Pelodiscus sinensis: one gene and its partners. The protein of the gene in region 1 purifies or fractionates together with the protein of each later gene. This does not show direct contact. Links are inferred from orthologs where the notes say so. Each region holds a gene or a part of one and is shown on either strand. Other genes may lie near its edges. The genes, in order: CLGN, SLC12A2, SLC9A6 and TCTN2.

The links.
Region 2: the proteins of CLGN (region 1) and SLC12A2 purify together in Homo sapiens (co-immunoprecipitation; 3 studies listed by BioGRID and IntAct, with this or other methods). This does not show direct contact. The link is inferred for Pelodiscus sinensis from reciprocal best matches to the Homo sapiens genes CLGN and SLC12A2.
Region 3: the proteins of CLGN (region 1) and SLC9A6 purify together in Homo sapiens (co-immunoprecipitation; 3 studies listed by BioGRID and IntAct, with this or other methods). This does not show direct contact. The link is inferred for Pelodiscus sinensis from reciprocal best matches to the Homo sapiens genes CLGN and SLC9A6.
Region 4: the proteins of CLGN (region 1) and TCTN2 purify together in Homo sapiens (affinity purification with mass spectrometry; 3 studies listed by BioGRID and IntAct, with this or other methods). This does not show direct contact. The link is inferred for Pelodiscus sinensis from reciprocal best matches to the Homo sapiens genes CLGN and TCTN2.

What each region holds. Positions count from the first base shown.
Region 1 is NC_134715.1:43,521,163-43,528,452, reverse strand, and holds the start of CLGN (calmegin), read right to left. Parts: upstream 3,016-7,290; 5' UTR 2,683-3,015; intron 2,655-2,682; exon of another isoform or gene 2,428-2,654; intron 2,025-2,427; 5' UTR 1,829-2,024; intron 1-1,828. UniProt on the Homo sapiens protein: Functions during spermatogenesis as a chaperone for a range of client proteins that are important for sperm adhesion onto the egg zona pellucida and for subsequent penetration of the zona pellucida.
Region 2 is NC_134716.1:51,376,056-51,384,412, reverse strand, and holds the start of SLC12A2 (solute carrier family 12 member 2), read left to right. Parts: upstream 1-5,309; 5' UTR 5,310-6,266; coding exon 6,267-6,908; intron 6,909-8,357. UniProt on the Homo sapiens protein: Cation-chloride cotransporter which mediates the electroneutral transport of chloride, potassium and/or sodium ions across the membrane. Plays a vital role in the regulation of ionic balance and cell volume.
Region 3 is NC_134723.1:34,716,007-34,723,204, forward strand, and holds the start of SLC9A6 (sodium/hydrogen exchanger 6), read left to right. Parts: upstream 1-4,160; 5' UTR 4,161-4,244; coding exon 4,245-4,494; intron 4,495-7,198. Other genes in the region: MMGT1 (ER membrane protein complex subunit 5), read right to left, coding at 2,098-2,179. UniProt on the Homo sapiens protein: Endosomal Na(+), K(+)/H(+) antiporter. Mediates the electroneutral exchange of endosomal luminal H(+) for a cytosolic Na(+) or K(+).
Region 4 is NC_134725.1:31,202,751-31,210,328, forward strand, and holds the start of TCTN2 (tectonic-2), read right to left. Parts: upstream 3,088-7,578; 5' UTR 2,923-3,087; coding exon 2,832-2,922; intron 1,584-2,831; exon of another isoform or gene 1,454-1,583; intron 1-1,453. Other genes in the region: GTF2H3 (general transcription factor IIH subunit 3), read right to left, coding at 6,607-6,676, 6,767-6,803, 6,899-7,034.

The DNA of each region.
Region 1 (7,290 bases):
TTTTAGGTACTACCGTAACACAAAGTTGCACAGATCAGGAAGGATTTTTGGAGCAGATTTTAAAAAGTCCTCAAGTCTTACTCAGGACCAGACAACTGTGTGTTGGACATGCTAGTATATTACCAGAAGTTATAGCAGCATCAGAAGCCAAGGCCCATTCTGCTAAGCACGGTACAGACACATACAAAGAGATTCCTGCCTCAAACATCTGGTCTACATTACAGCAATTTCCACTAGTATTCTTTCAATCCTAGCACAATTACTGCTTTCAATATTTCTTAACTTTCCTGGTAGATTAGATTTCTTTTGAATCTATTTTCCCCTCCACAGAGGAAGCTTCTTTAAAAGAAAAAAAATTTGATAAAGAATGTACAAACAGAAATAACTACTATGATCACCTTTAAACCATGCTACTTAACTCATGAGGGCAAGGACTCTTTACCCTGAAAAATTTAGATTTACAGAGGGTAACAGAAATGCACTTTAAACGTCTGTTGAAAGATCCAATTACCTGAAATGTAGGGCCAGTCAGGGGAGGGATGTGAACGACTAGTCAGAGACAGCCGGAGGGAAGGGGGGGGGGGGGGGGAGAAGAGGAGAGTGCGCTTCCAAGCAGCAGCGTCGCATGGAGCACGGGATCAGCTGGGGACTCCCATACTGACCCCAGGCTCCATGCAGTGCTACCACTTTGAAGTGCACCTCAGGAGAAAAAGAAACCAAGCACTGTCCACCCAATCTGTTGGATCCTGGCCAAAGGGTCTGGTCAGTCATGCTAAACAAAGAACAATTGTTGAGAAAGCTACCTTGAGCTAAGGCTATATCTTCGTAAATTAGGTATTGGGCATAAGCATACAAACAAAAGTAACCCATTCTATCTTCAGCCTGCTCTGCCTGATACCAAGTAGCCCTTGTTTTATCTTTACTATAACACAACTCGGTGTAAAGATAAATGATTGTTAACTGAAATGATTGTTAACTCCAGTTTAAGGAAACAAAAGCACACCTTATTGCTTTAAGGAGACATGGACCTTAACTCCCTGAGAATTCCAAGACAGGAATGACTCAGCACCCAATTAAGACATGCTGAGGCCCTAAGCTATTTCAAGTTTAAGATGTCCCATCACATTACCAAAAAACATTAATTTAGTCATTTTTTTAAGAGGTCTAATAATCTGGGGCACTAAACTGCAGTTTACGTTAGGGATGTCAGCACATAGTTGAGTAAACAATTAAGTCCGGGCTTAACTAAATGCACCCCCTCTTGCTGCCTCTGTACCAATCCTATGGAGCCACCTACTCTCCCTCCCGCCCACTTCCGCGCTGCTGCCTCCAATAAGGGATGCCAGAGCAGCCCCTGTCTGCAGAGAGCTCGGTTCCCCCATGGACAGGGACTGCTGTCACAGAGCAGCCTCTGTCCTCAGCAGGACCAGGCTGGCTACAGACAGAGGCTGCTCTGTGGAATGCCAGCGCAGCCCCTGTCTGCGTGGAGTTCGCCTCCGCCCCCCATGAAAAGAGGCAGCACAGGCTTGCAGACTTCCTGCAAGCGGGGCTGGGAGCGCACTGCCTGCCAGCCCCACCCCCGGGGATTATCAAATAATCATATAACCACTAAAATGTTGTGCTGTTACACGATTATTGAATTAATTGATATTAACCATAAGCTCGTCTGTAGGCATCTGGGCTCTGAGACATAAGTAGCAGAATATTTAAGACACGCAGGATTGGAGGACAGTCAGTGACAACCTCCCCTAAAGGACGGAACCCCAACCATTTAACAGTGAAGCAGATTTAGTGCAGTTAACATATAAGATATATTGCAGAAGGATACCTATGTTTAAAGCAACCTGCAGATAAAAGCGAGCACGTGTTCAGAATCAAGACGCTATGTCCAGTCCACATAAAACTCCACAAATCCTGGGCCTACGTTTTGATAAAGGCTCATCACACGGGTTTTAAATTTTGCGCATTCCAAGGTAGTGCAGCCCTCCTTCAGCCAGGAATACACACGCACAACAGCTTGGCAGCTGAAACCAGAGTATCAGGGTCTGACTGACCCTAACCAAGAGCAGCCAGCCAGTGAGCTGCAACATTCCCCGGCAGGCAGACAGTTTAGGGCACCTACTGCCCATCCCCCACACGGAGCTAATTGCTGTTGTTCTCTCCGGCTGGTCCCACTAGGCCTCAGAGCATCTCTCAGGAGAGGCGGGCGGTGCTGCCCGAGAGCTCTCTGCCCCGCCGTGGGGGGGCGGGAGTTTGAACGAAGTCGGAGACCGGGCGGGGGCACAAGGCTGAGCGCGCGGAACTGGGAACCCCGCCAGGCACGTGTCCAACAGGGGACGCGCCGAGCCCATGGCTGGGGTTCGAACCCTCATGCCACGGACATTCTAACGGCAAAATAACGGCCGCGCCCGCGTGCCGAAGGCTCACCGCCGGGGTGGGGAAAGGGTCGGCAGGAAAGCGGCCTGCACCCCCGACTTCCTCCGCGCCGCCGAGCTCCTAGGCGCCTGCGGCTCACTGGCCTCCAATTAACGGGCGAGCGAAGGAGCAACTGGCCCGCGAAGCGAAAGCCCCGAGCAGAGCTCCAGAGATGCTCACAGCCGCGAGCCACCACACAGGCAGCAAGAGCGGAGGCAGCCCGTCCCCGCGTGACTCAGAGACGTTTAGCCGCGGGAGGACAATTACCGGCAAAACAGAAGGTCCGGTCCGCGTCTGTCCGGTAAAGCCAGACAGCGTCCCTTCGCGCATCACCCAGCTCCAACTACGCATGCGCCACTGCGCTTCAAGCGATGCCGGCGCCGAAGAGCAGGTGTTGCCGCGCAACCGAGCCAATCCGCTCACGCTGCGAACAGACCAAGCGAATCACAACTCCAGACCCTCCCGTCCGACCCACTGGCTGCGATCACAACGCCCGAGCCAATCACTGCTCAGTCCGCGGCGGTCAGGGCCCAGCACGTGCTGGCTTAGCCAATCACCATCAGCGTTTACAGAAGGGCTCGCGGCTCTGCTCCCGCAGCTTTGGACGTGCCGCTGCAGTGCGCGCACGCGCGGTGTCAGTCACTGTTCAGTCCAGGCCGCCAGACGTAGTGGTCAGTGTCCGCGCGGGAGCTGGGAAACAGGTGCCCGTTTGGTGCCGCCCCGCTTCCTAGCCAGGGTCAGGCAGGGCATGCGGCTTGCGCAGCACAAAGCCTCAGCAGCGAGGCACCTGCTCGGCCCGCAGTTACTGCTGCGCGATCCCATAAACATACCCGCCCTTGCTCCACCCCCTGCACCTCGTCCCTCCATGGTGCTTTGCTTCCCCCGGGCTGCTGGCTGTGGTGGGGGCCAAGGGATTTGATGCGTGAGAGGGGCTCCGGGCTGAGCATGGAGAGGAGGGTTAGGATGCAGGCTCGGGCTGGGAGTTTAGATGCAGAGGGATGCTCAGGGTTGAGGCAGAGGATTGGGCTGCAGGGGACTCTTGTACATTTCAAAGTAGAAGTGCCCTCAGGGAGCCTGGGCTCAGAGTCACCTGCTGACCCCGGACTCCATGCTGCACTGCCACTTCAAAATGCCACATGAGGCCAGGGGTCAGATGGGGACTCCCCTGCTGACCCTGGGCTCCTCAAGGCATTTCCCCAGATCCTGGGGTCAGCTGGAGACTCCCCAGCTGACCCCAGGTTCTGCATGTTTTCAAAAGCTGTGGAGGAGCCTGGGCTCAGCTAGGGAGTTTCCAGCTGACCCTGGGCTCCTCAACATTTTCCCAGAACCTGGGATCAGCTGGGGACTCCCCAGTTGACTCTGGGTTCCACGGAAATGACACAGGGAGCCCAGGGTCAGCTTGGGTGTCCCTAGCTGACTTTGGGCTCCATGCAGTGCTACCACTTTGAAACACCTTAGCAATGTTTCAAAGGGGCAATGCCACACAGAGCCCGGGATCAGCTGTGCAATGCTTCCGCTTTAAAGTACCCCACCTTCCCCCACCCCTTTGCTGTCTCTATCTAATAGAGGCAGCAAGGCTGGGGAAATCACCTAGTGGACTGGACTATCCGATAAGCATCGGATAGTCAACTATTCCTTAACATCCTTAATAAGGACAAATGAAACAGATTAAACCTTCCAAATCCGGGAGTCTCTAGTCCGGCAACATCTGTGGTCTGGCAGAGCCACGGATGTTGCTGGACCTGTCATAACCATGAGGGTTAGCTAGCAGCCTGGAGTCTAAGGGGTTATCTATGTTCCTATATCTAGCCAGGTAGCATTCAGCCAATAGAAATGCAGGTAGGGACTTCAAACTTAGACAAAAGAATTTTGAGGTTTTCCCTCCTTTGTCTCTGAGTCAGTTTGCTCTCTAGATACTGAGGGAGACAGAAGACATGTCTCTCTCCAAGAAAAAGACTCTTCAAAATGTGTAAGTAGGGTAAAGTTTAGATAAATCTGTTAGGTTTTATTGTTTCTGTTCTGGGACTTTGGATCTGATGTGTGTGCTGTTAGAAATGGGTTTTCCTCCCTAACGCTACGTCTAGACTGCAAGTCTCTTTCGAAAGAGGCTTTTTTGAAAGAATCTTTCGAAAGAGAGCGTCTAGACTGCAACCTCTTCTTTCGAAAAAGCAAGCCGCTTTTTTGAAAGAGAGCACCGAGGCAGTCTGGATGCTCTGTTTCAAAAAAGCCCTGTTTGCATTCAAGAACGCCTTTTTTCGAAAGAACACTTTAGAAAAAAGGCATTATTCCTCGTGAAATGAGGATTACCGCCATCGAAAGAAAAGCCGCGTTCTTTCAATTTAATTTCGAAAGAATGCGGCTGTAGTCTAGACGCAGGTGAAGTTTTTTCGAAAAAATCCTGCAGTCTAGACACAGCCTAAGTCCTGAGCCCATGGAAGTCCCCATGAGTATATTAATTGGTGACTTTTTCCATCTAGTCATTATGCTTTCAACAAGAGTATTGTTTTGATGATAAAAGTTCTTTCTTTTGTTAACCTGGTATTGGTTCAGTTCTGTGTCCTGGAAAATCTGTCTGTGGATATCTGCATGCCTCTCACTAGAGGGCAGCTACCACAGATTGCAATTGGTATTTTATCTTTTATTTTTCAAGCTCTTTGGAGAAAAGAGCTTGGGGTACTCTGGAGCTGGTTTCAAGTGTCCACCCGTTTGTGGGTTCAAAAGCACTTGATGGTGGCAGCAGATTTTTATCCCCAAAATCTAGGTTTTTAGGATTTTGGGGGGAGTTTTATACCAAAGCCTGCAAAGATAAGGTTTTGAGGTTGCTTTTGCAGGCCCCCACTTCTGCGTTCATTGTGCCACAGTGGGGAATCAGCCTTTACAAAGCATTTGCTTACCGGATAGTTGCTAGTCCTTAACATCCTTAATAAGGACAAATGCAAAGTACAGGTTGAACCTCCCAAATCCGGGAGTCTCTAGTCCAGCAACATCTGTGATTTGGCAGAGCCAGGGATGTTGCTGGACCAAAGAGCCCTGGAGCAATGCAGGGGCTGGGAAGCCCCAGCTGGGCCAGACAGCATCTGGGGAGCCCCCACCCTGGCCCAGAACCCCAGAATTAATGGAACCAGGCAATGGCTGGGGAGCCCCACTGCTGGCCAGAGAACCCCCACCGTTAGCGGGGCAGTGGCTGAAGAGTCCCCGCCCCAGCCAAGAATCCCTGGCTGCAGCTGGGCTGCCTGCGGTCGTGCAGCCCTGGCCAGTAACCCTGGGAAACCCCCCATGGCAGCGGGTCTGGCAGAGGCAGATGACCTAATCTCCAGCAGCATCAGGGTGGTCCTAGTAGTAGGGAAAGATGGCGGGGCGGCCCTGGCTGGGGAACCCCCTGTGGCAGCAGAGCCACCAGCAGCTAGGTGGTCCCACCCGGGAACCTTGGAAAATGCCCTGCAGCAACAGGACCAACAGTGGCCAAGTAGTTCCCGCCAAAGACCCCGGGAGACCCTGGGGCAGTGGCCGGGTAGCAAGGTGGGGAACTGTGTTGAACCAGCTTTAACAGGGCCAGTGTTAGCACAGAGAGCCTCAGGGAGAGGAGCTTGGGAGGGGGGCAGCCAGCAGGGGAGCACTGACCTCCTCTGGTTCGGCAAACTACCTGGTCCGGGACAGCTCAGGTCCTGAACGTGCCAGACCAGAGAGGTCTTACCTGTACGCCACTTAGAAAGAAACAATCAGTTTCACACATACAGAATGGGAAGTAACTGTTTAGGAAGGAGTACTGCAGAAAGGGATCTAGGAGTCATAGTGGACCACACCTAAATTTGACTCAGCAGTGTGACACTGTTGCAAAAAAAGCAAATATGATTCTGGATGCATTAACAAGAGTGTTGTGAGGAAGACATGAGAAGTCATTCTTCCGCTCTACTCTGTGCTGATTAGGCATCAGTTGGAGTATTGTGTCCAGTTCTGGACACCACATTTAAAAACAGATGTGGAAAAATTGGAGACGGTCCAGAGAAGAGCAACAAAAATGATTAACGGTCTAGAAAACTTGACCTATGAAGGAAGACAAAGAATTATGCTTGTTTAGTTTAGAAAAGAGAAGACTGAGGGGACATGATAGCAGTTTTCAAGTATCTAAGGGTATGTCTACACTACCCTCCTAGTTCGAACTAGCGGGGTAATGTAGGCATACCGCACTTGCAAATGAAGCCCGGGATTTGAATTTCCCGGGCTTCATTTGCATAAGCGGGGCTCCGCCATTTTTAAATCCCCGCTCGTTCGAACCCTGTGCCGCACGGCTACACGCGGCACGAACTAGGAAGCCTAGTTCGAACTACCTAGTTCGTGCCGCGTGTAGCCGCGCGGCACAGGATTCGAACGAGCGGGGATTTAAAAATGGCGGAGCCCCGCTTATGCAAATGAAGCCCGGGAAATTCAAATCCCGGGCTTCATTTGCAAGTGCAGTATGCCTACATTACCCTCCTAGTTCGAACTAGGAGGGTAGTGTAGACATACCCTAAAAGGGTATCACAAGGAGAAGGGAGAAAAATTGCAGGAAGGGATTTCTATTTTCCATTCAGTCAAGCATGTCTTAATATAATGGGACATAATAACCTTCGTGAATCTCTAGAGCGTCTTCATAAAATCTCCCAAGAGCATCAGTTTATCCAAAATTTCATCGCCTCATACATCAAGGCAGCCAAGCAACCTTAACTATGCCATATTGTGACACCATATAAAGTTTTAGCATTTGTGAACCCAGATTAAGGATATTAAATTTTGGGTAACTGACTAATCTAATAGTTGATGCATTTTTGCATCAACTGTTCAATTAGTCGATAGGGTGCCTCTGCCTTTTAAGTGTAGCAACAGCCCTTGGGTTCC
Region 2 (8,357 bases), on another chromosome or scaffold:
ATTTCAATTCAAATTTCCAGCTAAACTGGTAATCCTGCGAATAAATAGTTGAGCACTTGGGGGGGGGGGGGGGGGGGGGAGATGTTGGGGAAATTCAGGGGAGTGATGAGAAATTTTTACTCTGGATTGTTTAAAGTCAGGCTCTTAGGCTGTGGGGTCTCAACCTGTGGGCTGCATGTGCCCCAAGTAGCACACTGCTGGGATGCATGTGTGCTAAAGGCTGTCAGCAGGGTCTGGGTTCCCAGCTGCATGACTGTCCAGTGGTGTGAAATCTAGGCTGGCTAGAGCTGGGTCAATGGGAGAAACTCGCCAATCAATGTAATGTGTCTTGTTCTGGTGGAGTACTGGACTTCACAGGTGTGCATTTGGCAGTTGATTTAGTGGGAAAACCCAATAAATCAATCCCTGATGGATCAATCGCTGCAGCAACAATCCACCTGGTAGAGGAGACAAGCCCTTAACTCTGTGGTATACTACATGTCAGCTTATACTACCTGTTGGCTTTTCCCCCAGTCCTTTTTAAACTATCTATTAGGGGAGTGTGGCGGGCTCACCAGCCCCATCCTCTTCTCCCCAAGGTCCGGTCCCCTTTAAATGCAGGCACAGAGGCCTAGTCCTTTCAACGGAGGCCCAGCGGCCTAGTCCTTTAAATGGTTTCCCTCGTCGTCTGGGATCTGGTAGGAAGGGGTAGAGGGGCCTGGGCCCCCCCCCTCCACTGGGCCCCAACCCAGGGCCCTATCAGTGGCAGGTGGTTTCCACTACTGGCTCAGCAGGGCATTCTCCCCGGAACTCACTGAGCCCGCTGGGCCTTTTTCTGGCCCCTGCCTTGGGTTGCTTCCTACCCCCTTGCCTGGTCTGACGGCAGTCCCACCTGAAGGTGCAGGTCCAGCAACAGCAGCAACAGCTTCTAGGGAGGCTGTGCAGCACGGCCAGCGTTGTGGTCTGGCTCGTCCCAGTGACAACATCGGCAGGGGTAACGGGTCCTGCACCTCTTGGTCCGGTGGCTGTGGCTCCGGCTCTGGGGCCTGGAGAGGAGCTCCTTCCCCTCCCGCGGCCAGCCCCAACTGAGCAGCCCGGCAGCCTTTTATACCAGGGCTGCACTGCGAGCATGCCCAGCAGGGTTGCGGGGAAGGGGCGTATTCCACCCAATAGGCGGGCTCTCCGCCCCCCTGTTCAGTGGGAGGCTGGCCAGCCCCGTCACAGGGAGGTTCTATTAATAGAGATGCTCTATTTTCTAGTCAGGAGGAGATGATGGAACTATCAGATCAAATGAGGCACAATCAAATGAAAGAGTCTAACATCAGGAAATGGCAGACAGATAAATAGTGACAAATTATTAAAGTGCTTATACGCAAATACTAGAAGTCTAAATAGTAAAATGGATTAACTGGAATGCCTAGTTTTAAAGGAGGATATTGATATAATAGGCATCACGGAAACTTGGTGGAATGAGGACAAGCAATGGGACACAGTCATACCAGGGTATATAATATATCGGAGGGACAGAGCAGGTCGTGCTGGTGAGGGAGTGACTCTATACATGAAAGAATGAAGTAAAAATCTTAAATGAACCACAACGTTCATAGAATCTCTATGGATAGTGATTCCATGCTCCAATAATAAGAATATAGCTGTAGGAATATATTATCGACCACATAATCAGGACAATGATAGTGACTATGAAATGCTAAGGGAGATTAGAGAGGCTATCAAATTAAAAAACTCGGAAATAGTGGGGGATTTCGACTATCCCCAGATTGAGTGGGTACACGTCACTTCAGGACAGGATGGAGAGATAAAATTTATTGATACATTAAATGATTGCTTCTTGGAGCAGTGGGTTCTGAAACCCACAAGGGGAGAGGCTATTCTTGATTTAGTCGTAAGTAGAGCGCAGGATCTGGTTCAAGAGGTAAATATAACTGGACCGCTTGAAAACAATGACCTAATGTAAGAAAAATACCTGAGCAGCCCAACACTATGTCATTTAATTTAAGAAAGCAGAACTACACAAAAATGAGGAAGTCAGTTAAACAGAAAAAAAAAAAGGTACAGTGACAAAAGTAAAATCTCTGCAAGATGGATGGAAACTTTTCAAAGACATCATAACAGAGGCTCAACTTAAATGTATACCCCAAATTAAAAAACACAATAAGAGAACCAAAAAAGTGCCACCGTGGCTTAACAACCAGGTAAAAGAAGCGGTGACAGATAAAAAGATATCTTTTAAAAAGTGGAAGTCAAATCCTAGTGAGGAAAATAGAAAAGTCCGTAAACTTTGTCAAATTAAGTGTAAAAATATAAGAAAAGCCAAAAAGGAATTTGAAGAATAGCTAACCAAAAACTCAAAAAGTAATAGTAAAATGTTTTTTAAGTACATCAGAAGCAGGAATCTGGCTAAACAGCCAGTGGGGCCCTTGGACAATCGAGATGCTAAAGGAGACCTCAAAGATGATAAAGTCATCACGGAAAAGCTAAATGAATTCTTTGCTTCAGTCTTAATGGCTGAGGATATTGGGGAGATTCCCAAACCGGAGCCATTCTTTTTAGGTGACAGATCTGACGAATTGTCCCGGACTGAGGTGTCATTAGAAGAGGTTTTAGAACAAATTGATAAAGTTAACAGTAACAAGTCACTGGGACCAGGTGGCATTCACCCAAGTGTTCTGAAAGAATTTGCAGAACCATTAACTGTGGTTTGTAAATATCCTTTAAATCAGCTTCTGTACCTAATTGATTGGAAGATAGCTAATGTGACACCAATATTTAATAAGGGCTCTAGAGGTGATCCTCTAGATCACAGGCCAGTAAGTGATTACAGGCCAGTAAGTCTAATGTTAGTACCGGGCAAATTAGTTGAAACTAGTAAAGAATAAAATTGTCAGACACATGGATGAATATAATTTGTTGGGGGAAAGTCAACATGGTTTCTGTAAAGGGAAAACATGCCTTACTAATCTGCTAGAGTTCTTTGAGAGGATCAACAAACATGTGGACAAGGCTAATCCTTTAGATGTAGTATATTTAGATTTATAGAAAGCCTTTGACCAGGGCCCTCACCAAAGGCTCTTAAGTAAAGTAAGTTGTCATGGGATAAGAGGGAAGGTCCTTTTGTGGATTGATAACTGGTTAAAAGACAGAAAACAAAGGGTAGGAATAAATAGTAAATGTTCTGAGCAGAGAGAAGTAACTAGTGGGGTCCCACAAGGGTCTGTCCTGGGACCCAATCCATTCAACTTATTTATAAATGATCTAGAGAAAGGGGTAAACAGTGAGGTGGCAAAATTTTCAGATGATACCAAACTGCTCAAGATAGTTAAGAGCAAAGCAGACTGTGAAGAGCTTCAAAAAGATCTCATCAAACTAAGTGATTAGGCAACAAAATGGCAAATGAAATCAATGTTGATAAATGTAAAGTAATGCACACTGGAAAGCATAATCCCAGCTATGTATACAATACGATGGGGACTAATTTGGCTACAACACCTCAAGAGAGAGGTCTTGGAGTCATTGTGGATAGTTCTTTGAAAACATTCACTCAGTGTGCAGAGGCAGTGAAAAAAGCAAATAGAATGTTAGGAGTCCTAACAATGACTCCTAACATTCTATTTGCTTTTTTCACTGCCTCTGCACACTGAGTGAATGTGTACAGATGTGGTCACCCCATCTCAAAAAAGATATTAGCATTGGAAAAGGTTCAGAAAAGGGAAACAAAAATGATGAGGTGTTTGGAACAGGTGCCATATTAAGAGAGATTAAAAAGACTTGGACTTTTCAGCTTAGAAAAGAGGAGTCTAAGGAGGGATATAATAGAGGTTTATAAAATCATGACTGGTATGAAAAAATGAATAAGGGAAAGTTATTTACTTATTCCCATAATAAGAGCTATGGGGTCACCAAATGAAAATAATAGGCAGCAGATTTAAAACAAACAAAAGGAAGTTTTTCTTTTCTCAGTGTGCAGTCAACCTGTGGATCTCCTTGCCAGAGGATGCGGTGAAGGCTAGAACTTTAATAGGGTTAAAAAAAGAGTGAGATAGATTCATGGAGGTTAGGGCCATCAATGGCTATTAATCAGGATGGGTAGGAATGGTGTCCCTATCCTCTGTTTCTCTGGAAATGGTGGGGAGGGGATCACATGAGGATTAGCTGTTGTGATCCCTCCCTCTGGGGCATCTGGTATTGGGCAAGGTTGGCAGACAGGATACTGGGCTAGATGGACCTTTGGTCTGACCCAGTATGGCTGTTCTTATGTACGTACAGTTTGGTCAACGTAAGGCAGCTTACATCATGCTAATTGTGTCAGTATATACTACTGCAGCCTTACTTATGATATAAATGCTCTATTACACTAATATACTTTCACCATCATGACAGCGTATAGCAGGGCAGTTGTTCGCTGTCATTGTCGGTTTCACAGACATCTGCTAGACCTGTGAAATTGACAAAAAGGCTGATAGGTTTCTTGCTGTAAACCCCAGGCCTCCTCACAGCTTTGTCTGTCACACTAGGGGTGGGGGCACTATTTGGAGCTCTGCGTCCCCAGCCGAGGCTCCTGGATCTCGGTTGAGAGCAGGATAGAGAGGGTGGGGAGGTTGGCAGGGTCAGTTAGGTTCTTGCTCTGGAGCTCTGAGGTCACAGTTGGGGGACAGGCACAGGACCTAGCTGTGTGTGGGGAAGTGCTGCAGCACACCTGACCTGCATCCAGAGCCCTGGCTGCTATCTCCCCCCCACACCCAGGCTATGTCTACACTGGTGGCTTCTCGCGCAAGAGAGCTTACACTTGTAAGAAAAGAGTGTAGCTCTTGCGCAAGAAGCTTTCTCTTACCAGCAGGTACTGTAAATCTTGCGCAAGAGCAGACAGGCAGTGTGGATGCTCTGTGGATTCTTGCGCAAGAACGGCCGTTCTTGTGCAAGAACTCGCCAGCATAGACATAGCCCCAGGGTCCTGGCTGCTGATCCCTGCCTGGGCCTTTCTTTGTCCATATCTCCCTCATCCAAAGTCGGGTGGGAGAAGGCAGAGGCACAGACCTGTGCGCCTGCCACTGAGCAGTGTATGCAAAAGCAGGTGAGAGCTGGGGAAGCTCAGCCCTCCCCTTAAGGCAATCGACCACGAGACAGAAGGGGAGGGGGGCTATGAAAATGTGCAGTAATTGCAGCACAACCGCACCGGCTCCTGCTGACCTGCCCCCGACCCCCACCACCTCCTAAGAGTGGCGCCCGGGGATTTTCTCGCGAGATCTTTCCCCGCGCCGCAGCCTGCGGAGCCGGCGGGCGGACAACTTTCAAACCGGGGGAGCGAGCGCGAGGCTAGGCCCAGGGGGCGGGGACGGAGCCAGCCGGCACCATCGGCCAGCAGCGCGCGCGCGCGGCCTGCCTAAGAGCGGCGGCTGCTGGTGCTGGGGCTGCGAGCGCCGCCTGTCACCCACTTCTCCTCCGAGGCGGCGGACGCAGCCGTAGCGGCGCTAGCATCCGCCCCAGAGCCGGGTGTCTCCTCCTGCCGCAGCGCGCCCGGAGGGACCGGGCGGGCGGAGCCTCCGAGACAGGCGGCGCCTCGCTGCCGCCGCGCCCGCTCCGGGGAAGGGAAGCGACGCTCGCTAGGGCCGGAGGCGCGCGAGTCCCGGCGGCCGAGCCCCCCCCCCCCCCGAGGACGGGGAGGGACGGAAAAAAGCCACTTCCGCCGCCAGCCCGCCCTCGTGTCGCTTTAAAGACCCAGCCCCGAGCCGCGCCGCCGAGCCGCGATTGGCTGAGCCCTGCCCCTTCGGCCGGCTGCTGTCAGCGCCTTGGGGCCAGCCCGCCGGGCGAGCGCCGCTCCGCCTGCTCCTCGGGGTGTCAGTGCGGCGGCGTGGGACCCTGCCTCGGCGTGTCGGGCGGTTCTGGGATTAGGTCAGGCAGCGCGGTGGGGAGCGGGAGCCGCGTGTGCCCTCAGCCGGGGGCCCTGCTGCCCAGCGCGGGTGGGTGGGGGGCAGGAGGTGTCGGGTGCCGCTGCGGAGCGCGCCGCAAGGCGGCTGTTGCTGCCCCTCTGTCCGGGCTCAGGGTCTTGTGGCGGGCGGAGGAGCCAGAAGTGCCGCGGCGGCGGCAGCATCATCACCTGGCGCTGCGGCGGAGGCGGAGGGAGGGGAGAGGCGAGGAGGGGCGGGCGCGGCGCGTTGCGTGGTCTTGGGGCAGCCCGGCTGGTGGTTGGACGTTTAAAGCAGCCGAGCCGCCGCTGGGGTGTCAGAGGCAGCCGGGGCCGTCGCTCGTTCGCTGCCGCGTGAGCCGGAGACATGGAGGGGAAGCAGCCGCCGTCTGGCTCCACCCGGCAGCAGGCTGCTGCGGCGCCGGGAGACGCTGAGGAAGCGCCGCGCTTGCCGGCTCGCGTTGGGGATGCGGCGGCTGTCGGTGCGGAGCCTGAAGCGGGACTGTCTCCGGCGGCAGCGGCTGGTGATGCCCTGTGCAGACCGCTGGGTCCCACCCCGAGCCAGAGCCGCTTCCAGGTGGATCTGGTGGCGGAGGGCTCTGGCCGGGCGGCAGCGGACGAACCCCAGAAAGCTGGCGGGCCGGGCGGCGCGGCGGGGAAGGGCAGCGACGAAGCCAAAGGCAGGTTTCGGGTGAACTTCGTGGACCCGTCGGCCGGCGATGATAGCCATGTCGAGCACGGCGGGGGCCCGGAGGGCGGCGGGGTCAGCTTCCAGAACGGCGGCGATACGGTGCTGAGCGAGGGCAGTCTCCACTCCGGGTGCGGCGGCCCCGGCGGGCATCACCACTACTACTACGATACCCACACCAACACCTACTACCTGCGCACCTTTGGCCACAACACCATGGACGCCGTGCCCAGGATAGATCACTACCGGCACACGGCCGCCGACCTGGGCGAGAAGCTCATCCGGCCTAGCCTGGCCGAGCTGCACGATGAGTTGGACAAGGTAAGATACTGCGGGCATCTCCATTCCTCAGCCCGAGTGCTTCAGAGCCCTGATGGTGCTTGTGCTCACAGTTGCATTGCTTCCTTCCTCTTCCCACGTGGGGGCCAGATAATTCAGATCTGCGCTGACTAACACGGGCCGCTGGGTTGCAATAGGAAGCCTTTGCTCTGTCTTCTCTCTGCCCTCCTCCCCTTGTCTGAATTTGATCTAGGCAAAACAACTAAATGATTTCCCCTTAAGCTCCTTTCTTCGTGTTGGTTTCAGTTGTCCACAAACCGGCTTGAGATAAATGTAGATTTGTATTAGAAGGAAAACAGCAACAACTTGTCACTCAGATTTATAAAGATGCAGGTGTTGGACACTGACCAGTAGGAACCAGTCACAATTGTATATTTGAAGAACAAATGGCTTTACAGTGAACCCTCGCTACTTCGCGGTTCGACTATCGCGGATTCACGACTTCGCGGACTTTTTTCATTACATTATGAATCCGCGATGGTCGAACCGCGAAGTAGCGGTTACCAAAACTTTAAAAAGCCTCCGGGGAAGCCGGCGGGGGGGCATCCCAGGCGCGCCTGGGCTGCTCCCCCGCCGGAGCCCCTCCGCGGCTTTCAAAGCCTCCGGGGAAGCCGGCGGGGGGGCATCCCAGGCGCGCCTGGGCTGCTCCCCCGCCGGAGCCCCTCCGCGGCTTTCAAAGCCTCGGGGGAAGCCGGCGGGGGGGCATCCCAGGCGCGCCTGGGCTGCTCCCCCGCCGGAGCCCCTCCGCGGCTTTCAAAGCCTCCGGGGAAGCCGGCGGGGGGGCATCCCAGGCGCGCCTGGGCTGCTCCCCCGCCGGAGCCCCTCCGCGGCTTTCAAAGCCTCGGGGGAAGCCGGCGGGGGGGCATCCCAGGCGCGCCTGGGCTGCTCCCCCGCCGGAGCCCCTCCGCGGCTTTCAAAGCCTCCGGGGAAGCCGGCGGGGGGGCATCCCAGGCGCGCCTGGGATGCCCCCCCGCCGGCTTCCCCCGAGGCTTTGAAAGCCGCGGAGGGGCTCCGGCGGGGGAGCAGCCCAGGCGCGCCTGGGATGCCCCCCCCGCCGGCTTCCCCCGAGGCTTTGAAAGCCGCGGAGGGGCTCCGGCGGGGGAGCAGCCCAGGCGCGCCTGGGATGCCCCCCCCGCCGGCTTCCCCCGAGGCTTTGAAAGCCGCGGAGGGGCTCCGGCGGGGGAGCAGCCCAGGCGCGCCTGGGATGCCCCCCCCGCCGGCTTCCCCCGAGGCTTTGAAAGCCGCGGAGGGGCTCCGGCGGGGGAGCAGCCCAGGCGCGCCTGGGATGCCCCCCCCGCCGGCTTCCCCCGAGGCTTTGAAAGCCGCGGAGGGGCTCCGGCGGGGGAGCAGCCCAGGCGCGCCTGGGATGCCCCCCCCGCCGGCTTCCCCCGAGGCTTTGAAAGCCGCGGAGGGGCTCCGGCGGGGGAGCAG
Region 3 (7,198 bases), on another chromosome or scaffold:
TGATAGGGACAGAATAGGTCCCTCTGGGGATGTGGCTGCAGCGGCCCACCCCGATCCAGGCGTGGGCCTCATGGTCTGGCCCCCATCTACTGCAGAAAGGGCTGATGATCCTGGCTTGGCCCTTGTCCAGTCTTAGTTGCCCGGCTGCAGCAACCTGGTCCAGGCCAGGCAAGTTAGCCTAACTCCCCTGCTTTTCCTCCCATCCTCAGGACCCTGCCCCTGTCTCCTGCAACCTGTCCTCCACCCCCCCAGCCCCAACCAGTGTTCCCTCTAAGCTGCGTGGCAGCACAGCTTTATAAGTGCTTAATCAGTCCAACCCAGTCAGAGGCTTAGGGCTCCATGCAGAGAGCTGACTGACTGAGGGGGGCTGATTAATCACCTGTGAAGCTGTCCTGCAGCAGTTTAGAGGGAACATTGCCCCTAGCACCCTGACCTGAGCCCCTCATATACCTCAATCCTGACTCCTGTACAGGAATCTTGCAACCGAAGTTGCAACTCCACACCGGGCCAACCAGAGTGTATGTCTATTGTCACAATGCTGCCATTTATAAATGCTATACTTATCAGCCTAATTCTACAAGACATTACAGGCAGAAATTTAGCTCAATACAGTTAATTATTTTCATTCTAGTCAGAGGTATGCAGTAGTGTGGAATTTTGTAAGCACATTTTGCATTAACTTAATCTGTCCTAAAATTCAGATAACTCTGGGTTGTAAAACTAAAGGACATCACCTTTTTCTGAATTATAAAAGTAAGTGGTTTAAACAATGAGCAGTCCTGTGGCATCTTAGATAATAACAGATTTAGTTTAAAAAAATGGATAGTCCTTTAAATCATTTTATACACATTGTTGGCATGTGTGAGGCAGCAGAAAAAGGAGGTCCCAGTGTTCAAGGGGTTAAAGAAAGCCTCTGGGCCAACCTACCCCCTCTGGCTTCATCTGCAGCCAATACCAGGCCTGGAGGAAGTAGAGAAGGAAGGAGCCTGGCTCATTTTGGGGCTGACTAGCAAGGATGCAGGAGCTTGGTTCAGCAGAACCTGTACACTCAGCAGCCATGGGAGTAAGTAAGCCCACACCCCTATCCCTCCAAGAAAAGGTTGGAAACTTACTGAGAAGCTCCAGCTAGGGGGAATCTGGACTCTTAGGGCTATTCCCCAAAAACTTCCTGGGCCAGTAGCACAGGGGGCCAGAGTCCCTCTTTCCCCACTTGCTTATTCAGTGACCTAGCCATAGCCTGTTCCCGTATTGCCCCACCACAATCCTGACACGATTCTAGCAAGTGGTGTCTCCAAAACCCACTAGAATTGAAAAACAGTATTTTAAAAAACGGAAAGTTAGGAATTTGAAATAACCTTAGACAGGCTTCAGAAACGTGTAATATTTAGGTTTGCCACCTACCACAGCTAGAACCATGCTGATGCCTGCGTGTAAATGTTTTCAAGGGGTTATTAATCTTTCCAAGCCAGAGTCCTTGACCAGGACTTTCTGATCCTGGTTACATAAAGTAACTGGATCCTTGATTCCCAAAGCAAGCAATTTGGGAGAAATTATACCATTTTGCTTTAAAGGTATTGAGGATCTCTACAAGAGAGGCTTGAAAATTAACATATGGGCTCAAAAGAGAACTGGCTACACTTTACACACTCTTTTCCTCCTCTAAATATACTTAAAGCTCTGGGCGAACCTACCCCCTCCGGCTTCATCTGTAATCACAGCTCTGTGTGGTACCCCCCTACCCGCCCTTCCTGGCCCAGGCCCCCAGCTCACGGCTGGCAATGCGTCCCCAAATCTCCCCCTCGGCAAACGGCTTGAGGCGCAGGGATTTCCTCAGTAAGAACCGGCCCCGCTTTGCCCCCGGAATCTCTCTGCCGCCTTCATCTAACTCCGCCTCGTCCCGGCTGCCACCAGCACCCGCGCCCCGCTCCTGCGCGCCACCCCCACCCCGCGACGCCCAGGCGCCCGCACTGCCCCTCCCCCGCTGCCCGAGCAGCGTGTGGGGAAGGGGCCGCGGGGACGAGGATGGCTACGTCCCCGCTCCCCGCCCGGGCGACAGCCCCTCACCCCCCGCGCCGCCTCCAGGTCCCGCTCACTCACGCTGCGCCGCGGAGAAGGCCGCGTGGGCCAAGGCGAAGAGTCCGATCCCCACCAGCCCCTTCCACAGCGAGGCCGCCGCCATCGTCCCCCGCCGGCCACGGGCTCCCTCCCTTCAGTCCGGCCGGCTTGCGCCAGGGGGGCGACCGGCGCACGGAGATGGCGTCACCCCTGAGCGGCGCTAGAGGGAAAAGAGCGGGAGGGGGGGGGAAGACAGGGGCAGGGTCATAGGTCGAGAGGTGTGGCCTGAGATGCTAGAAGGGACGGTCGAGGGGCGGGGTCAGCGGTGATTGGCGAAAGGGCTAGGGCTGTAGTTGAGGGCGGGGCCAAGGCATACAAACTCATATAGGAGGGGGGCATTCATAGGGGCCGACAGTGATAGGCAGGAGGGACAGTCATAGGCTGAGGGGCGGGGCCAACAATGATAGGCAGGAGGGGCAGTCATAGGCTGAGGGGCGGGGCCGACAATGATAGGCAGTAGGGGCAGTTATAGGCTGAGGGGCGGGGCCGACAGTGATAGGCAGGAGGGACAGTCATAGGCTGAGGGGCGGGGCCGACGAAGATAGGCGGGACAGGCAGAGTCATAGGTTGAGGGGCGGGACTTAAGGGTGAGCTTTGCTCCCAGGTCCTTTGGGGAGCGGCATCCCGTTAGCCCGAGTGGCAGGCTGCTGGGCCCACTCCTCTGGCAGAGTCCGAGGCCTTCCCTGCGGATGGGGGTTGTGCGGTGTCCTTGCTGTGGCAGCCCCTAGCTACCTTCCCTCTCCCCGGGAGCCGCTTCTCCCCTGGCTGGTGGGGCAATAGCACTGGAGTACAAATGGCGGCCTGGGGAAAACTTGTATTTTGCACAGCTGCCCTGCTGCGCGTTGCCGCTTGGCCTCCTCGATATCCCCATCCGCCTCTCACCCTGCACTGTGTCCCCTTCGTTCCTAACTCCTGCATTCTCCTGGGAAAAACGCCCAGGATGCATGGATTCGCTGTTAGCTTCCCCTCTCCAGCAATGCTCTGAGCACCTTAGGAGGCTAGGAGCTGGGAAGCAAGGAGCAATATCGGGTCCATGAAAGACAGGAGAGCAGCAGCTCCTGATGCTCACCTCAGGCATAACTGGGCTGGAGAAAGTGGCCTGGAGGCACAAAGCATGAATGTGTTACATCTGGCTTCCCCCATAGCCCTGTAGAGGAAGGTTTGTGGGAGAGAGATCACCCTCCCACCATGTTCTTATACTGGGAGGAAACTGGCATCAACCTGGGTAGCTTTTCTCTCCAGAAGAGCTCCCGGGTCAGCCAGGAGCAGTTACTGACAACCTAAGCGGCATGGTTCTGTGCTGCATAGTAGCACCACTTTGAGTATGACACCCATTTGCAGTCACCTGGGTAACTCACCCTTAAGGCTTGCTTTGCCCCTGTCCCTCCCAAACAGCTGGCCTCACAAAATTGGGAACGTTCAGTTTCCTGGCTTTAGAACCCAGAACTGGACAGCCTACTAATTTCCCCAACTGTCCCTCCAGTAGAGCCCAATGGTGGTGAGGGTTATATCAGCATATATCCTGTGTTCCTGGTAGATAGCTCACACATGAAGAGAGTCACATTAATTACACTGCATCAATGACTGTGTACACAGAAGAGTTTTAGATCCCACTGACTGGCTGCCATTGGATTGAGCTTTGCAGCTGCAGAGCTTATGAAATACTGTGGTATTTTGGGGTGCAGCAGCACCTCAGAGTTATGAACGGACCCGTCAACGTAAGAACATATGTTCTTAATGTTCAATGGGAATTTTTTAACAGACCCATGTTTTGTTCCCAGTGACAAACACGGTAGAGTAGGGAACCACTGCCATGCCATCCCCCAAGGATGGGTAACTCCGCAGTCTCGCTTTACGCGGTGCCAGGCAGGTGTGATGCTGCCGGATGCTAGGCATGGGCAAGCCTAGGCATGCGGGGTTCCCAACACGCTAGGCTGGCTGTGAAACGGCGGGTGCTTCGCTAGAGCAGCCGCACTTCCCCGGGGGCCTCCAGCCGACAGCCATGGCCTGTGCCCCTTATGCCCCTCCCCACGCGCGCCCGGCACCGCCCCACTTCCCGCCCCGGCGCCTGCGCCGAGCCCTGCCCACAGCTCCGCTGCCAGCCGGGCCCTGCGGACGGAGCCGGAGCCATGGCCGTGGCGCTGCCCGTGCGGGCGCTGCTGCTGCTGCTGGCGGCGCCGGCCCGCGGGGAGGTGGCCCGGCCCGTGGCCCTGGAGGAGGAGATCGTGTCCGAGAAGGCGGCGGAGGAGAGTCACCGGCAGGACAGCGCCAACCTCCTCATCTTCATCCTGCTGCTCACCCTCACCATCCTCACCATCTGGCTCTTCAAGCACCGCCGCGCGCGCTTCCTGCACGAGACCGGCCTGGCCATGATCTACGGTGAGGGGCGCCGCGCGCCGGCCCCGCCCCCGGCTCTGCCCCTCAGCCGCCGGCTCCCACTCCGCGACCAGCCCTCGCAGCTGCCCCCCCCCCAGCTGCCCTTCAGCACCCCGCCCCTCGCAGCTGCCACCTCGACCCCCGCCCCCTGGTTGCTGTCTAGCGACCAGCCCCCACCCCCCTGCAGCTGTCACTCAGCCCCCACCCCCTGAGCTGGCTTTCAGCCCCCCCCCCCCCGGCTCCACACCCCCACCCTTCCGCTGCTGCCTAGGGACCAGCCCCCTGAGCTGCCCTCCGGCCCAGGGCTGCTGCCTAGCAACAGTCCCCTCCACCCCTCCCCGGAGATAGCACCTGCTCTCCCCCCCCAAACTCTCATCCGCACCTCCCCAGTAACCAGCCCCTGAACTGTCACATAAAGTTTCTCAGTTGCCACCCAGCAACCAGTTGATAGTGGGCACCCTCTATGTGCACTTCCTGCTTGAAGCCAACCTGGTCATGTCTACCGTGAGGGATACCCCACACCCTCCCGACTGCTTGGCTACTGAGCTGCCACACAGAAGCCAGCCAGACTCACCCTTGGAGCTGGCGCACAGCACCCAACACTTACCCCACCCCTCTGACACCCACGTCTTGGCATATTGACTGCACAAGGTCTGCCGGGTAACTTCCTGTGGTGAGAGACTCTCTCAGGACCCAGCCATCCTTTTGAGCCATCCAGCAAACAACCCCATCTCCCACTCCGTGTCAGACCCATCCCTGGGAACACTGCGTGCGTGAGACCAGGCAGGACTCAACCCCCCTCCATGCATTTTGCACCCAACACCCGTGATTTAGCACCCACCCGGCAACCCTATCATAGCACTTCCTGCATTGGAGTGGCCTACTCACTATATAGTCATATACTTTCTGCGTGAGATGGAATCAGATCTATGGTGAGACTGACCAGGAAAATACCCATCTGGGGTCTCCCTCAATGAGACATCAGCATCTACTGTACCATTCCTGCATAAGAAAGATCTGGCCATGAGGGGTTGACCTAACCCTAACCCAGGTGTTTTTGAAAAGCCTATATAATAGCTGAAGTGTGTGTCTTTAAAAGTTGCAAGACATTGTATTTTAAGTAGGTTTTTTTTTTAAAATATTGAGAGGTCTCTTAATATGGGGTGGGTGAACTGTTAAAAGGATCCCTTAGTGCAGAGACACCTGATTTCACATAGTTCTGGCAACTGTGGAAGGAAAGTGCACTAGGCTAAGAGGATGAAAGAGATTTGCCCAGATCTTAAATTGTGTTCTTTGCCTGGGAGGTATGTATATAACATGTCACTGCGTGTTAATAAACTTTTTTGAAAAAAAATATTGCATTGTATCAAGACTAGAGATGTTACACATCTAATGTCCAGAATAAGGATGAAAGCGACTAGTCGACTACCCGATAAGCCTGGGCTTATCGAGTAGTCAAATGCCTAGTCAACCAGTTGCTTTCTCCCCACCTTTGTATCAGGGGCAGTGGGGCAGTAGGGGTGGGGGGAGCTGGTGCTGGTGGGAGCCAGCTTAAAAGCCAATTTCCCCCCAGCACAGTCTCCACAGAGGAGCAGGGGAGACAGAGGCGCAGCAGGGAAAATGGCATGAGCAGGGAGTAAAGCAGATCCTGACTGCTGCGCCTCTCTTTCAAATGTAGTAAGAGCCCCGCAGAGGCGCTGCAGGGAACCCAGAGTGAGCGGGGACTCAAGTAGAGGTGCAACAGTCGGGATCTGGTGCGAGACGGGATAGCAAGCTCCCCCCATGGATATTCCATCAACTACTTGATTAGCTGATTAATCGAAATTTAACATCCCTAATCCATAAGGTATCACGCTAAAGCAGGGTACTCATCACGCAGCCCATTTGTTTGCGGCCCGCAATGTAGTTTGATTTTACGCGGGGCTCAACACGTGGCATGCAGGTGGAATATGTGTTTTAGTAGTTAAATTCCTGGACTGTCATTGCTCATTGAAAGTACTGTCATAGGGGTGGAAATCAGGTAAATACTGCATTTTATTAATATCAGCAGGAGTGACTTAAATGGAGCCTGCGTCTTGTGTAGTCTTGCCTTAATCTTTGTATTCATGCCCGCCAGTGTGAAAGAAGCTGTTTGCATATATTTGCATGTATATGCAACCACACTTAAGTTGCGGCCCTCGGCATGTACTGTGAGTATCATTGTGGCCCCTGGGGCTTCCAAAGTTGAGTAGCCCTGCGCTAAAATGTTTATATAATTCCTGCCCATCTGACACTTACAGTAAAGAGGTTACAAGTATAGGCCCCAGCCCTGTGATTTCTCTTATGGAGATGGTGTCAATGCGGCCCTGTGCAGAGCTCTTCCTGCATGAATCTTGGAGGTCATATTCTCATCTATGAAAGTATGAACCTGGGGACCCAAACATTTATCAAAGTGATTAGTGATTTTGGGTGATCAACTTAAGGCATCCGAGTGGATCCTCAGTGTCAGAAAGTGCTGAGTTCCTCCCACTGAAAATTAGCCTCATTTAATGTATCTCAAGTTGGGCACCCAAAATCACTAGACGCATTTTAAAATCTTGGCCTGGAATGTTAGTCGTATTTCTAATATAGAGCTAAACTGCACAAAGCATAGGAGAACTGGAGTTCTTAACCACTGCCTACACTAAGTTCTGTGTTGCAGCTCAGTGAAACTAGGGAACTTCTAGGT
Region 4 (7,578 bases), on another chromosome or scaffold:
AAAAAACTTGCACGGACTAAGATTTCACCACCCCCTTAGTTTTCACCACCCTCCTAAAAGTTTTTCCTAATATCCAACCTAGACCTCCCTCTGCAACTTGAGACTATTGTTTCTTGTTCCGACATTTGCAACCACTGAAAATAGCCTAGCTCCATTTTCTTTGGAACCCCTTTCAGGTAGATGAATGCTGCTATCAAATCCACTCATTCTTCTCTTCTGCATGCTAAAAAAGCCCAGTTCACTCAGCCTCTCTTCATAAATCATGTACCCCAGCCTCCAAATAATTTTTGTTGTTCTCACTGGACTCTTCCAGTTTGTTCACATCCTTTTCGTAGAAAGTAGGGATGTTAAATTTAGATTAATTGGCTAATTGAATAGTTGATGCAATTTGCATTAACTATTTGATAAGTCAATAAGGGAACCTCTGCCTTTGAGGCTGCTGGTACAGCCCTCCGCCCTGGGGCTGTTGGTACACTTCAAAGGTGAAAGCGCTGTGGGGAGTAGTAGTGGCCAAAGTAGTCCCTCACTGGCCCCATCCTCCCCACGACGTTTCAAAATGGCAGTGCCGCATGGAACCAGGGGTCAGCTGGAGATTTTGCTGACTCCTGGCTCTTTGTGGCACTGCCACTTTGAAATGCTGCGGGGAGGCTGGCATCAGGCTCCATGCAGTGTTTCAAAGCAGCAGCATTGCATGGAGTCCAGGCTCTGGCCCCAATTCCACACAATACTGCCACTTTAAAGCACCCTCTTCTCCCCACCCTGCTTGCTGCCTCTTTCTGATAAAGGCAGCAAGGAGAGGAGGGAGCGACTAGTCAATTAGAGTGTTGACTATCCGATAAGCATTTGCTTATCGACTAGTCGTTCATATCAATTCGCTCAATCTGCTGGTGATCTCCTACTTATGTAGCGCAATATGCCATTAGTCTTCTTGGCAACAATGACACACTGTTGCCTCATATCCATGTTCTTGACCATTGCAATCCCCAGGTCCTTCTTGGAAAAACTGCTTTAGCCAGTCCGTCCCCAGCCTGTAGCTCTGCACTTGTCCTTGTTGAACTTCAACAGATTTCTTTTGACTCAATCCTCCAATTAGTCTAGCTCACTCTGCGCCAGCCTATCTACTTTTCCCACCAGCTTAGTGTCATCAGCAAACTTGCTGAGAGTGCAATTCAACCTATCATCTAGATCATTAATGAAGATGTTGAACAAAATCAGCCCCAGGACCTGGGGAAACTCTGTTTGATACGAACTGCCAACTAGACATCAACCCATTGATACCTATCTGTTGAACCCAACCATCTAGCCAGCTTTCTATCCACCTTATAGTCCATTCATTCAAGCCATACTTCTTTAACTTGCTGGCAAGAATACCGTGGGAGAACATATCAAAAGCTTTTCTAAAGTCAAGACATATCACAGACACTGTTTTCCCCATATCCAGAGAGCCAGTTACCTCATTATAGAGAATAATTAAATTGGTCAGCCATGACTTGCCCTTGGTGAATCCATATTGACTGTTCCTGATCACCTTCCTCTTCTCCAAGTGTTTCAAAATGAATTCTCAGCACCTTTGGTTTCATACACTAAAGAAACATTTTTGAAAATCAGATGGCCAACGTACAAGAGAGTGACTTATGGCCAGGGCTCGACAATTAGTGTAATCTACTCGCCTGTGGCGAGTAGATTCCACCCCCGGAAGAGCCGGCACGGAGCGATCTGCGCACGTGCAGAGCGCAGAACCGCGCAGCTGGTGAGCAGGGCTCACCACTGCTCGGCGAGCTCTGCTTATGGCTATCTCTGACCCTTACTTGTTCTCCTCCATTCTCTGAGCCAATAGCCACATGCAATCCAGCTCCAAAAATCCATAAAACACCCAATAATCATAATAATTGATGGCTAACTCCCACTCTCTCCCCCATGAGCCCCAGGACCTTGATGTGTCCAGCACCTGACCCTTAAAGACCCTGCCTTAATCCACTATGTCCGTCCCAAGGGAGAAAACTTGTTCTTCCTAGCCTCTGAGAATAGAAGAAGCAATGGGCTTAAACTGCAGCAAAGGAGGTTTAAGTTGGACATTGGGAAAAAGTTCCTAACTGTCAGGGTGGTTAAACACTGGAATAAATTGTCTAAAGAGGTTGTGGAATCTCCATCTCTGGAGATATTTAAGAGTAGTTAAGATAAATGTCTACCAGGGATAGTCTAGACAGTACTGGGTCCTGCCATGAGGGCAGGGGACTGGACTCAATGACTTTGCAAGGTCCCTTCCAGTCCTAGTATTCTATGATTCTATGACTATAACTAAACTCCAGTCTGTACACCCCACTCTCTGAGACCCAACCTAATCCTCTCTCCTTTATCTCGCCCCATTATTTCATCCTCTTATCTCCCCACCTCTGGGTCCCTTCCACATCAAGGATCTGAATGGTGAGGTGTTCTGGTTCTGGTTAACCAGTAGGGGTTGGAGCAACTCCCTGCCCGTTAACCAGTTAAACATGTTTAACCAGTTAACCAATTAATTTGAATGGTACATCCCTATTCCACACTGCCCTCCCTATCTGCTGCTGTCTCCAGGAGTCTCTCTGGCCTCTTCCCCTACCTCCCCTCAGGTCTCTGTGCTTTCCCACAGCCCCCCTGCCCCCACATTTCAGAGGGGTCACTGCCAGCCTCCCCCCCACAGCCTCTGGGCTCACACACACAGAGACATAAGCCAGCGCGTCACTAGGGCCGTACCTGAGCAGCGCCCCGCACGCGGGAGGGGGCAGCCAGGTCTCTGCCCCTCCCACATCTGAGGACCCCCCCCCATAGCTGCCAAGACCCCCCACAGCACCCACCGAGGTTGCCTGGCGGAGCCAGGATCTGGGCCCGCCCCGCGGGGCGCTCAGACCCCAGCAGCAACAGCGCCCAGAGGACAGAAGGGATCATGGCGGGCAGGGGCTGCCAGAGAAACGCGGCACAGGCAGCCACAACCCAGCCGCCATCTTGCGGCGGGCCTCTGTCGCTATGGAAACGGTGGCTCGCGGATCACTGGAAGGCCCTTAGAGCCGTTCCCTGGCGTGCCCGCGCCGGCCGAGACGAGGAAATACTGTGCGCACGCGCAGACTCGCTGCTTTCCTGCCACGGCCCAGGTGAGGCGCCCTGTGCGCGAGGCGCAGCCCTGCTCGTGTGACCCGGCAAAGGCTGGAGTCGCTGTGGCGGGCTGGTGGGCTGGGCGCCCCCGCAGGAGCAGGGCGCTAGTCCGTCTGGACCTGAATCTGGTGGAATAGCGGCCCCACGTGAGCGGCCATGGCCTAGCAAAGCAGCTCCCCCTCTGCAGAGCTCGTGGGGCAGGCAAATGGCTTCGCAGCAGAGGCCTTGCTGATGTTTTATGCAGTTGTAAAATTGTCGAGCTCCTGTAAGGGCATCTTGCTGAGGCCTAAATAGATAGGTATCCCGTCAGGGCTGTCCCTAGGGTTTATGGGACTCCACACAGTACTATGAAACCAGACAACAGTGGGGCTAGTCCAGACTGGCATGATTTTCCGCAAATGCTTTTAACTTAAAAGTCTTCCATTAAAAGCATTTGCGGAAAAGAGCATCTAGATTGGCATGGAGAAAAGCACTTTTTGCAGAAAAGCGTCTGTGCCAATCTAGATGCGCTTTTGCACAGAAAAACCCCGATCGCCATTTTCACAATCGGGGCTTTTTTGCGCAAAACAAATCTGAGCAGTCTACACTGGCCCTTTTGCGCAAAAGGACTTTTGTCCAAACAGGAGCAGCATAGTATTTCTGCAAGAAGCACTGATTTCTTACATGAGATCGTCAGTGTTCTTGAGGAAATTCAAGCGGCCAGTGTAGACAGCTGGCAAGTTTTTCCAACTTGCCAGCTAGACACAGCCTGGGGGCGGAACAGAGGGGAATGATGATTTTTTTTAGAGATGCAATTTTGTAATCTTGGGCAACACACTAATCATGCCTTTATGCAAGGGGGGGCAAAAGGTGCAAAGGCTCCTCCCGCTCATAGTCCTCTAAGTAAGCATGAGGTTGGAGCAGCATGTTGTCCAACTTCCCTTCTCTGTGCTCCAGCAGGCCAGGGCAAGGCTGGAGCTGATTTTCAGCCCCCACAGCAAGGGCTGCCACCAGCCATGCCCACCACTCATGCCCTCACGCACAGAAATTCCTGTGTATGGGCCTGCTAATTAAATAGGCTTTAAGCTAATTTCATACTCAGATCCTGTTGACTAATACAGTACATTCAGAAACTGACAAGTCTATTTACCTGGGGTTGGCTTCATTGCCACTTTCACAGATTACATGTTCTACCAATACATCTGGCCTGGCCAGCTTTTTCAGAGTTAAGTTAACTGATTTCTCTCCTGAGGAAGCAGAGCCACAGGCCAGTGATAGGAAAAGCAGCCGGGTAGACATGAATATCCAGTGATGCTCCAAATTTTTGGGTGCCCTACGCAGCTGCATATTCTGCATATGAGTAAAGATGGCCCTGTATAAGTAGGTATTCTAATACAGGCAGTCCCCGGGTTACGTACAAGATAGGGACTGTAGATTTGTTCTTAAGTTGGATTTGTATGTAAGTCGGAACTGGTACATATTGTAGGGGAAACTCTAGCCAAACATTTCTCCAGAGCTCAGTTTTATTCTCGCACACCTCACTTCCCTCAGTCCTTTATTCTCAAGCTGAGGTGTCTGCTGAGAAAAGCCGCTCCGCGTCTCCCTGGTCTGCTGGAGGGGGGGGAGGGGGGCGCTAGCTTCACGTCTCCCTGGTCTTCTGGGAGGAAGCAGCTAGTGCGGGGTTGCCTCACCCCGTTTGTAAGTAGGGATCCGATGCAAGTCAGATCCATGTAACCCAGGAACTGCCTGTACTACTTAGAGTTTAAAAACCACGCCTAATTTTAGATTGCAATAGACCATATTGCCCTCTTAGTTGTACATATTGAAGCATGTTTAAGGCTAAAATATTCATCAGGGCTACATCTATATGATGCTCTCTTGCGCAAGAAGATATGCAAATGAGGCAAAGTGGTGAATATCGCTACACATTTGCATACTTAATGAGCCGCCATTTTGCGCAAGGGGCTTTTGCGCAAAAAGGAGCCATCTACACCGCTCCTTTCTGCACAAAACCCCCTTGCACAAGAGCTGTTCTTCCTAAAAAACCCAGCAGAACTGCTCTTGTGAAAGGGGTTTTGTGCAAAAAGGAACAGTCTAGACAGCTCCTTTTTGCGCAAAATGGCGGCTCATTAAGTATGCAAATGAGGTGCAGCAATATTCACCGTTTTGTCTCATTTGCATATTTTCTTGAGCAAGACAGCGCAGTATAGATGTAGCCTAACAGTATGTAAGATACCTTATCTGGTTTAGATTCTCAATTAATTTTTGAATTTACCTTTAAGATTATTTCAAAGGGAGACTAAAAAAGGAAAAGAGGCAACTTTTTTAAAAAGTCACTTTATTACAAATATTTATAAAAAACAAACTATAAATACAGTTTTCACATAAAATTGCATTTAGCTAACAAGCCAGTAAAATATTAGCATTTTCAATAAAATGGTTTCCCAATCTAACCTGATGAAAATACTATAAATCATCTCCTGTATATACCATTAAAAAAGAATTTATCTACAATCCTGTTTTCTATTTAGAAAACATTCCCATATTGCCTCTGATTACTACAGCAATTACTAAATGTAATTTAAAACACCAAAAGATGCAGTTAGGAATTCAAAACTAGGGATTTTTGTTTGTTTGATTTAAACATAACATTTGGAAAACTGAGAACATGCACCATGCATTCACCTGCTGAGATAGAGGGAAAAATCAATTCATAACAGAGGCCTTCCTACATTATCTTTCCGTGGTATTAGTCAAACCTAAAAAAAGAAACTTGCTATCAGATTCCAGAGATTTAAACTGTTTTCCAGTTTCAAAATATCTTAAATCCTTAAACATGAATGAAAAATAAATACTAGATTTTTCTTTTATTAAACTTTAAAAGGAAAATTACTTATCTCTGTAACGTTAATAGATTATTCAAATGAATAATTTTGTGTTTACTTTTGTTTTGGGAGAAGATACCAAAGTGAGCAAAGAATTACACACAAAGCAGATAATGCCCACTAAAAAGGAATAATTTAGTGGGAAGAGGGAAGGAAAAATATCAAAAATTTGCCTCATCCCAAATAAAACTAAATGACAAATTGTACTAAAGAGAGCTGCAGAATCCACTACAGCATGGATCCTGCAAAGCACATATGACCATGCTTACCTTTACCATGCATGCAGGAGCAGGGCCTAAGTATTTACATTCTGCCTCTGACTCTAAACAGAATTAGGGATGCTGTGTTGTTTTATGATGGTGAGGGCATCTTCTGCTTATACAAGCAGCAGTTTCTGACTCCTAATGGTCAAATAGGAGATTTGATTTTAAAATCATACAAACCATGCACCAATACAACCATCTGCTATTTACAAGGAAGGTGCATACAACCTCTTTGATGTTTTTAAATGTTTAGCAATGTAGATTTGTACAATGTGAACAATTTATTTCACCTTATAAAAATGCCACCAACTCCAGGTACATGCAAGAAGTAATGGTGTTTTTTTATAACTTTGTTATACAGCTAATTTTAGTTTCTTTTTCTTGGCCTTCATGACAGGTGGTAATGAAATCTTAAAAGCAGTCCTGAAATACAAGAAATTAAAAATAAGATATGCTAAATATATTTCTACATTTAGCCTACATAAGCAAACAAAAATCAAGAAAAGCACTTACTCGCATGTGCTACATATAGGGCTGAAGTTGCAGAATACTGGAAAATAAAAGAATAGGTCAATTTCACTAAAATAATTACCTTGAAACAAGAGAAATTAGGTCAGTTCTGTTAAATATATTTGTAAAACTTACTTGACAAACACACAGAGCAGACATAGCCTATTTCAATGAGATTTCGATGACAGAAGCAAGCTGCTCGATAGTCAACATGAATGGGGGGTGGAAGGATTAGTTGGGATCTTTGGTCTTGATCAGGAAGAAATACCCACTGTATAAATTAAAGAGAGGGGAATTTTAGAATCTGGGAGGAAACTATTATGTTAAAGTACGCTTTGCTATATATACCAAAATTACTGCAGAGAAAAAAGTTACCTTCCCATCTGCCAAAGAAACTCGCCTCTATGACTGTACCAAGTCATTAAGTAATTTGAGCAAGAAGGGAATTTTGTCCTCATTTACCTTCCAGGAAATGTTTTTATACTCATATTGCAATAAATAAAAAATGCTCTTTTAAAAATCAAGTCATTTTAAGATATTACAATTCATTCAACATCAATTTGAACCATATGTGAGTTTAATGGGGACAGAGGTGCCAGAATTATACCTCCAGAGAGAAATAAAAAAATGTATCCACAGAACCAATAAAGAATAGTCATGGAAGGTTCGCTGCTCCTCACTCCCTCCTACTACCACCATCATGTCTGAAATTCTATTCTGCTGCAAATACCTCTGCAGGCAAGAGAATTCTTCAGTCATCATGGTCCATTCAGTCACTGGATATTATACTGCAAATACTAACCAGATTGCCAGTT